Linked DNA regions of Coturnix japonica. The protein of the gene in region 1 purifies or fractionates together with the protein of each later gene. This does not show direct contact. Links are inferred from orthologs where the notes say so. Each region holds a gene or a part of one and is shown on either strand. Other genes may lie near its edges.

Region 1 (4,560 bases):
TCAACTGTACTTCAGCCCAGCAAGCTCAACATAACTCAAAGCTCCACCAAAGTACAAGCTTAAGCTTTTACCATAGTAGGTTACTTAACAGAGTAAAGTTATCTGGAAGCATCCCTGCCTTCCCACCATCACACCATTACCTTGAGTATGTATATTAAAATGCACATTACACTGTACATTTTATACCATGAACCAGATGTGGGGCATTCAGAACAGTACGGCCATTTACTCACCTACAGGAGTTTCAGTACACTTTTTATTTGGTTTTTAAACAAGCTTACAACTGAAAGGAGAAGAGTTGAGATGTCAAAGTAACGTTGTTAACACCCATAGAACAGAGGCATCCAAGAAGCATCTGGATAGAGAGCTAGAAGATATGGTTTAGAGGTTTTCTGTAGGTATGGTAAAGGGAGGACGGTTGGACTAGATGATCTTGTAGGTCCTTTTCAACCTTGTGATTTTATGAGGCATCATTTGAAGAGACAGGTTATATATTACATATATATATATATTACACATTCTCAGAAGGGAGACAGAAGTTGCACACAGCTTCAACTCATGAGCAAAATCAAGTTCATAGAAGAGCAGGTACCAGGCTTCTCAGCCCAAACTCTATGCTGCATAGAACAGCTTCCAAAACGAAAGCTGGGATTGTTCTGACAACTCTGTGCTGTGTTTGGGCAGCAAATCAATTGCAAATTGAGGAAGCTGTTCAGAACTAAAGACAACTGCAGACCACAAGCTTCACTTAAGCAACCCGATGAGTGCATGGGCGGGAAGAGGATGAGGAACAGCTGTGCAAAGTTGGGTTTCAGCAGCACCGAGCTGCCCAAAGAGCGACTTGCTTGCAGGCAAACAGCTTAAAGGGGACTCAGAAGTTATTTGACGTTTGACCCAACGCTACGGCCCCCCGCCCCGGATTTAGTGCTGGTGAACGGGAGGGTCAGAGGGAGCGAAAGGAAGGAGCGGGCAGCGTGATGGAAAGGGAAGGGATGACATCACGGGGAAAGCAGCTCCAAGCCGGGCGTCCCGCTCCGGCCTCCGAGGGCCAGGCTGGAAAGAGAGGTTGCACCGGGCTCAGCACAGCCTCATCACAACGGAGGGAGAAACGCGGCGGAGGGAGGAAAGCGAGGGGGCGGCGAGGCCTGGGCCGGAGGAGCGCAGGAAGGGAGGCGGCGGGGAGGGCCGCGGAGGGAAGGGCTCCGGGAACGAGCCCGCCGTGCGGGAGGCCGAAGCCCGAGGGGTCCCGGCACCGCCTGCACTTACCTCCCGCACGGAGCGGCCGCGGCCTCGGCTGCTGGGAGCGGCGCCGGACCCAGCCCGTCCCTCCGCCGGACGCCGCTGCCCGCGGGTGGGAGGCGGAGGGCGAGTGAGGCCCAACCCCGCACGGCCAGCGCACGGCCCCGCCCCCGTGCTGCTATTGGTCAAAGCACGGCCACAAGGCAAGCCCCGCCCCCAGCGGGACGCTCGGCAGCCAATCCGCTGCCTCGCCTGTAGGCACTAAAAAAGGGCATGGCGGCTCCCGCATTGGCTGGGAGAGAGCTCACTCCTTCGGCATCTCATTGGCTTGCGAGGTTTGCAATCTTGTCCTCTAAGCCCTTTGATTGGTCCATTCTAAGGCGAGGGGAGACTGCTCCTCGCGCTTAGCAGCCACTGAAACAGACGGGATTGGTTGCGGGAAGGTTCCGCCGCTTCTCATTGGCCGCCGCTCGGGGCTGGCGCGCTGAGTCCCGGTGACGTTGACGTGACGCCGCAGCGAGCGGACCGACCTGCTTCCCAAGATGGCGGCGCGCAGAGCGCGGGGGCCGCGCTGTCGTTAGAGGCCCGGCGCTCCACAACGCTCCGCTGTCCCACGCGAGGCCTGTGAGTGCGCGGGGAGCTGGGCGGCCTTCTACGGGTGGGGGCCCGCTCCTGAGGCGGGGAGCGGGGGCACCGGGTGTCTGTGTGAGCGGGGGAGGTGGCACGGAGCCGGGTGCGAAGGCCGCTCCCTGAGGGGAGTGCGAGGGAGCCGTGATCGGGGACCCCAGGGCTCCTCGGGGCTGGCGGGGTCCGGAGGGGGCGGCCCCGGGGCGCTGTGTGCCGGGGGGGGGGCGGGGAGAGGCGGTGTCGGGGCTGCGGGGCTCCGCACGCGGAAGTGGCTGTGACAGAAGCGGGCCCGGCTCTTTAAAAAGCTCCTTAAAAGTCGCCGTGGGGAGGAACCGAAACGGCTGCAGAGCCGTAAATGAGGGGGGGAGCCGGACAGAGCTGTAAGCGGCTGTTGGCCTGTGTGTGACAGCGGGCACAGGGCTGTGTCAGCACGGCGAGATGGGGAGGCCCTTGAGTGCAGTGATTGTAGGTGGCACCTGACCAGACAGACCTATCTCAGTTGCCTTGATCTTCATGATCTTTTTAACATGCATCTCTACTCTACTGTTTTTTTCTTAAGTAACTCAAGTGCAGATGATTTAACAAAGGTTTTATCCAAGTGTTGCCATTCTGGTAGTGTTTCCAAGAGACCCAGTAAAGTGCTGACAATAGCAGGACACGGGGAAATGGTTTTAAATTAAAAGAGGGAAGATTTAGGTTGGATGTTAGGGGGAAGTTCTTCTCTAGGAGAGTGGTTAGACCCTGGAACAGGCTGCCCAGGGAGGTTGTGGATGCCCCGTCCTTGGAGGTGTTCAAGACCAGGTTGGACGGGGCCCTGGGCAACCTGATCTAGTAAAGGTGTATGTTTGGTGGCCCTGCCAGGCAGGGGGGTTGGAACTACATGATCCTTGAGGTCCCTTCCAACCCGGGTCATTCTGTGATTCTGTGTTTAAATTCCTTTCAGGCTGACCTAACATATGTGTCCTGGTTTATGAAGAGTGATTTGATTTCATCTCCCTCTTTCAGCTGTTCAAATCTTGCTGCTGCTATCACTAAATTGTTCAGTCTTATTTTATGGACAAAATGGATTAAAGTTGTTCTACAGAAAAGTAGCAGGTGCTTTTGATAAAACGTTGAAGTTTCTCTATCAAAGAATTGCAAAAGTAATCATATATAAATCTAGTCTTTGAATTGTATTTGCATTATGTCAGGAAGATGAAAACGTGGTTAAATATTACTTGTCTGTGAGCATGGAAAAAAGATTCCCCTTCATTTTAACATAAGTTCTTTTTGCTTTTCTTAAAGGTTCCAAAGCTCCTAACTGGAAACTTTTTTGAAGCCATATCAAGCAAGATCAGTTCTAATAAATGAAGGAGAATAAAGAAAACTCCAGCCCTTCTGTAAACTTGGCAAATCTGGACCATACAAAGCCATGCTGGTACTGGGATAAGAAAGATTTGGCACATACACCTTCACAGCTTGAAGGGCTTGATCCAGCCACCGAGGCACGGTACCGCAGGGAGGGAGCCAGGTTCATATTTGATGTGGGAACACGTTTAGGGCTGTATCCTTTAAACTCCTGATAAAGTGTTGATGAACGGGGGTTTTAAGAGTTAAATATTGCAGAATATGTGTAGCTAGTTGTTCTAATGTTTCTTTATCATGAATCAAAAATCTTTCTGAGTGTTACTTGATAGTTTTAGCCATTTGTTGGGTAATCAAGGTGTTTTCTGAGAAGCAAGAGAGTTTAGTTTTGTCAATTATGGATATTCTGGCGGTTACCAGATATGGCCTCTTATATGATTTCTCAAACTTTGAATTTTATGTTTATTTTTCTATATTGTTTAACTTTGGAGATTCCAACCTGTGATCCACCACCCCCCACTTTGTTTTTCTTATAGGGTGGAATCTACAACTTTATGTATGTTGGTAATTTCTCCCCATTGTCTCAACTCATGGATACCACTCAAACTTTTTGCTTGCTATATCCCTGTTACTTCTTTTAATCCCGTGAGTTCTTTGTTTAATAGATCTTGAAGATATAATTTTGCATTTATTCTGGCAAAGAATAGTAGGGAGCCCGTTCATGTTGCAGCTGTGTTTGTAGGTATGAATATTTAGTAACTATTTCCTGCAGTAACAGTTTCATGAGGTGTGATACAAAGCGACACTTTTACTCCTGTTTGTGCCTAATTCTGCTTTTGACCTTCTTGATGATGGTGCTTATCACGCAGATGACCACGCATAGATGTGATATGGGCTTTTCTTACTCCCAGTAAATGCTTTAGGTGTCGGCTGCATCTGGATAGAATTTGCACAATCCTAAGGGGGTGTGGCTTCTGTTTCTCTTTTAATTGCAGTGTTTTTCAGCCAGTCGCTGAGTGGACAGTTCCTTGAGATATTTGATATATCAGAGTGTATCTTTTTCATTGGGTGTGTTTGATTTTACATTTGTTCTGTGACTTTCTTGAAGTTCCTTATCCTGCACCACAGACACTATGATACTTTAGCAACAGGAATAATTTATTTCCATCGGTTTTATATGTTTCATTCCTTCAAACAGTTCCCAAGATATGTAAGTATTTACAATATTGATTACCTAATACTGTGATTACATGAAGGATAGGCTTTCTGAAATGACTACAAGTCGAGGGCATTACTCCTTGCACAGCTCTTGCTGAATAAAATGATTAAATATTAACTTTTTATCTCTTA
Region 2 (4,519 bases), on another chromosome or scaffold:
TTAAATAGCATAAGCTACGAGTTATATGAGAGGAGCAAGAGAAACAAAGAGAGATTAACTTTAACACCACAACACATACAGCAGCTTTTGATGATGCTCTTCCCTGCCTCCCACTCCTTTCTACCCTCACCAAGGTATTTCAAAGCTGCATCTGACTGAGATAACACTGAGTGTTGAGCATCACTGTAAAGGAAACCCCAGCACTTCTCACCATGACTTGACGGACCAGCTTCATGGTTTCAGTCCAAGGTCTGTTTTGGTTGTACTTTGCATGAAGTCTTTCTAAGAGAGCACTCATCTTATTCAGCTTCTCTGCCTCTGTCAGACAAAGCGGAATGAAAACATAGAAACAAAAGAGAACGTGAGCTGATTGCACAGCCCTTCCAAGCCGGGACACACTCAGCCTTTATAAATGTGTGCTGAATCCAATCTATACATTGTGGGGCTCTAAAACTCATTGTAGCACTTTATTAAGTTACATTGTTATGGAAGGCATCTCCCTGATACCAGGTATTTCTGGCTCCAACACAAGTCTATGGCAACATAACTGCCATAGAACATGACCCTACAAGGCCTATAGAATCAGAAGGGTTTATAAACTGATACACACAGATGTCATGGACTTAATGCCAACCCCATCAAATCAAAGCAGAACAAACAACCGAACGGTTCGCTACCACAGGAGCCCATCAGCCTTTATTTCCATCCACCACAGCCCCGCTCTGGAGCTGCTTAATGCCCAGCTTTGAGACCCATTGAGACCCATGGGGACCCCATTGAAGCCCATTCAGACCCATAGAAACCCACTGGGACCCATAGGGATCCATAGAGACCCAAAGTGGGGAGGGGACCCGACGACCCACACATGGTGAGTATGGACCCATAGGGACACATAGAGACCCCATAGAGACCCATAGGGACCCATAGAGATCCCATAGAGACCCATAGGGACCCATAGAGACCCATAGGGACCCATAGAGACCCCATAGGGACCCATAGGGACCCATAGGGACCCATAGAGACCCCATAGAGACCCACTGGGACCCCACGGCCGGGCTCCGCCGTTCCCTGCAGGCCCAACCGCCGTCCCTCGAGCTGTGGAACCCCCCCCATCCCGAGGAGGCCGGGCCTTCCCTCCGCCTCCACACAGCGCAGCCCCGCTAGGCCGCACTCACCCTCAGCGCCTCCCGGCACCGCCTTCATGCCTCAGGGAGGGGAGGGGCGGCCCGCGGCGGAGCCACAGGGCCGGTATCACGTCGATAAACGGGAAGGGATGGGGATAAACCGCGGCCGGGCCGCTCCGCTCCGGCCTCACACGGCGGCGCCCGCCGCCATCCCTCCGGCCGCGGCTCCCGCTTCTCGCGAGAACTTCTGAGTCTCGCGAGAGGTAGGGAGTCATGGTGAGAAGGGGGAGTGATTAGGGGGCGGGGCGTTGCGCTCAAGCCCCGCCCCCTGGATGCTGATTGGTGCTGAGCGGGCGGAAGGGGCGGGGCTTCGTGCGCTCCCCGGGACGGAGTAAAGTTCGTTCTCAGACCTCGCGAGAAGACGGTGCGCGCGCGCGCACTCCCTTCCGCCTTCCCAATTCTCAGCGCTTGAAATCTCGCGGGGGGAGGGCTCAGGCCGAGTCTCGCGAGAAGCAGCAGTTATCTCGCGAGACTTGGCGGGTGCCCCCCTTGGGCCGAGGAGCCGTTTCGCTTTGGGAAGTGAGCGGGGGGCGCTGGGCCGGGCCGGGGCGGCGGGGACCGAACGGGGCCGCACGGTGGGAACCCGGTACTGAGGGTTGGGACAGGGCGGGAGGGAACCGGACACAACGGGACCGGGAGGGATCGTGGGCCCAGCTCCCGCCTTCCCGGGGCTCCCCCCGCGGCGGCGCTGCCCTCCGGGCCTGGGCCCCTCGGATGAGGCGCTGAGGCCCGGTGTCCTTCCCCGCCGCTCCCGGTTCCGTTCCTTTCCCATTCTCCCTCTCCCCGTTGTTCCCTTCCTCCTCGCTCTCTCCGTCCCGCTCCCCATGCAGCAGGAGGTGCCGGGGGGCGGTGAATGGTTCGAATAGAGGGAGGCTGAGGGAGTTGGAAAGTCGAGGAGGATTTGGAGGAGCGCCCCCGCCTCCCCCTGTCCCAGCACAGTGGAGGAGGAGGAATGCCAAACCAAGAGAGACATGGGGGGAAGAAGGATGGGGGCGGCGGGGGGACCTCGCTGCACTCATCGGGCAGCTCCAATAGCAAGGAGAGGCACCGGGTGGCTTCAAGGCATAAGAGGCATAAATCCCGGCACTCCAAGGAGTCACCGTTGGCCGCCCAAGAGACGGCGGCGCCTCTGGGAGCTGTGATCAAACCGTTGGTGGAATACGATGATATCAGTTCGGATTCGGATACGTTCTCGGATGATTTGGCCCTTAAGTTGGACAGGAGGGAGAATGAGGAGAGGAAAGCGGATAGGAGCGAAAGGACGCAGAAACATCGACACCACCAGCACAAACGTATCCGTGAGCTGATGAAGAGCAAACAGGCAGAGAAAGAGAGGAAGTTGGAAAAGAGCCTGGAGGCCTCCAGCAGGTCCGGGTCTACCAAGGACAGGGTATCGGGGTCCTCTAAGAGACTGCTTGAAAGCGAGGAGCACCCGAAGGCCCCGTCCTCAAAGAGCAGCAACAAGGAATCCCGCTCAGCCAAAGCGCACAAGGAAAAGTCCAGGAAGGATCGGGAGCTCAAGTCCAGCCACAAAGAGCGAAGTAAAAGCCATCGGAAAAGGGATGCTCCCAAAAGTTATAAAACCATTGACAGTCCGAAACGGAAATCTAGAAGTCCCCATAGAAAATGGTTGGACAGCCCAAAATTGGATGACAGCCCTTCTGGAGCTTCCTACGTCCAGGAGTATGACCTCAGCCCGCCCCGCTCTCATACGTCCAGTACCTACGATCCCTATAGGAAGAGCCCCGGCGGCTCGTCACGCCGGCAGTCCATCAGCCCACCCTACAAGGAACCCGTGGCCTACCAGTCCAACACACGGTCTCCCAGTCCCTACAGCCGGAGGCAGAGGTCCATAAGCCCCTATAATAGGAGGCGCTCGTCGAGCTATGAGAGGGGGAGTGGATCGTACAGCGGGCGCTCACCGAGTCCCTACAGCCGAAGGCGCTCCAGCAGCCCTTTTGCTGCCAAGCGTTCCGTGAGCCGAAGCCCCATAGCCAGGTGTGTGCTCTCCACTGTGACTTCTTCCTCTTGGGGACTGGGGGAGGGACTGGGGGGGGGGAAAGGATGCATTGGGGTGGCTGGGTGTTAACCCTATTCTGCATCTGGATTGGGCCTGCTCTGGAGCAGTGCCATGATTTGGCAGCACGGTGTGTAATCACTCTGGGTCAGGTTCGTTGCTGTTTCCTGCAGTGGTGCTCAGCCTTGAGGAAACACCTCCTGGCTGGCACTGAGCAGCATCCATGTTGGCTCCCAGCAGTGGCCAGGGACAGAGCGAGCCCCGGGGATTGAGTTACACTCACCTCTGGAGGTGGCCCCCTGGCAGGGGGGGAGCTCTGTGCAGCACAGGGCCCGGATGCTCCTCAGTGCTGTGCAGCTCAATGGGAGGAATGTGTTCACCTCTGCTGGAACCCCTTATCTGTTTGCTGCGTGTGGAAATCTGATCTCACTCTTTAGGAGGTTTGTTTGTATTCTGTGTGTTTTGCTCTTTCTGAACTGACTTTTTTTCTTTCCTCTCTCCCTGAATTAGATGAGCGCATGTAAACTCCATCTTTTCAGCTTAAACTTTTCCTTTCTCAGTACTAGAGTTACTACTTTCCCTTCTGAAATTGGGGCATTCTGGAAAAAACAGGTAGAAATCATCTACATTTTGTCTTTCTTTAGATAGTAATCTTGTTACAGAAGGAAACTATTATTTGAAGGCTGTGTTGACTCTGTTTTATTTCAGATGCTCATTAATCTTCCTGTTACATACACAAATATGTGGTCTAATGTTTTTTCTTTCTAGCTTTGGATTCTGTTAAGTGAGTTTCCTGTTGTCACCATGGGTGCTGCGGAGCTTTGGTTGTAGCTCCATGGCAATTAAGATGCGACCTGGAATGTAATAACTATAGAACTGCTCTGCACTGTGCTGCATCCTCTGCTCCAAATATGAGCTGTGTGGAAGGAGGCTGCTCCAGGATGTGCTTGTGAGCAGCAGGTCTCTATTCCTTGGGGGTTTCTTGAGTTGAGCCTTTACTCTTAAAGCTTTTCCCTTGAGGTATTTTGTTGTCCATGGGGCAGTTGAGTTACAGCCTCTGTCCTCACTGTGAGAGATGCACTGTTTTCAGCTTCCTGGAAGCTGTTAAGTAAAATCTACCTCTTCTCCTGTGATATTTGGAAGCAGAAGTTATCCTGGCCCTCTCTTAAATCTCTGAGGTAATGAGGGATAGTCCTTGACATCTCTTTACCCTCCCCTCTATCCTTTCTGCTGTATGGTTGCACAGCTCTTGGAGACTCTTTGCTAATGCTTTTGGAAGAGTAAAACCAACAGTTATACTTCATGGTATGGTTGTGTG

What was found.
Region 2: the proteins of CCNK (region 1) and CDK12 purify together in Homo sapiens (affinity purification with mass spectrometry; 6 studies listed by BioGRID and IntAct, with this or other methods). This does not show direct contact. The link is inferred for Coturnix japonica from reciprocal best matches to the Homo sapiens genes CCNK and CDK12.

What each region holds. Positions count from the first base shown.
Region 1 is NC_029520.1:43,658,217-43,662,776, forward strand, and holds the start of CCNK (cyclin-K), read left to right. Parts: upstream 1-1,728; 5' UTR 1,729-1,863; intron 1,864-2,942; exon of another isoform or gene 2,943-2,961; intron 2,962-3,150; 5' UTR 3,151-3,212; coding exon 3,213-3,409; intron 3,410-4,338; coding exon 4,339-4,420; intron 4,421-4,560. UniProt on the Homo sapiens protein: Regulatory subunit of cyclin-dependent kinases that mediates activation of target kinases.
Region 2 is NC_029542.1:3,844,338-3,848,856, forward strand, and holds the start of CDK12 (cyclin-dependent kinase 12), read left to right. Parts: upstream 1-1,638; 5' UTR 1,639-2,136; coding exon 2,137-3,182; intron 3,183-4,519. Other genes in the region: MED1 (mediator of RNA polymerase II transcription subunit 1), read right to left, coding at 212-318, 1,176-1,203. UniProt on the Homo sapiens protein: Cyclin-dependent kinase that phosphorylates the C-terminal domain (CTD) of the large subunit of RNA polymerase II (POLR2A), thereby acting as a key regulator of transcription elongation.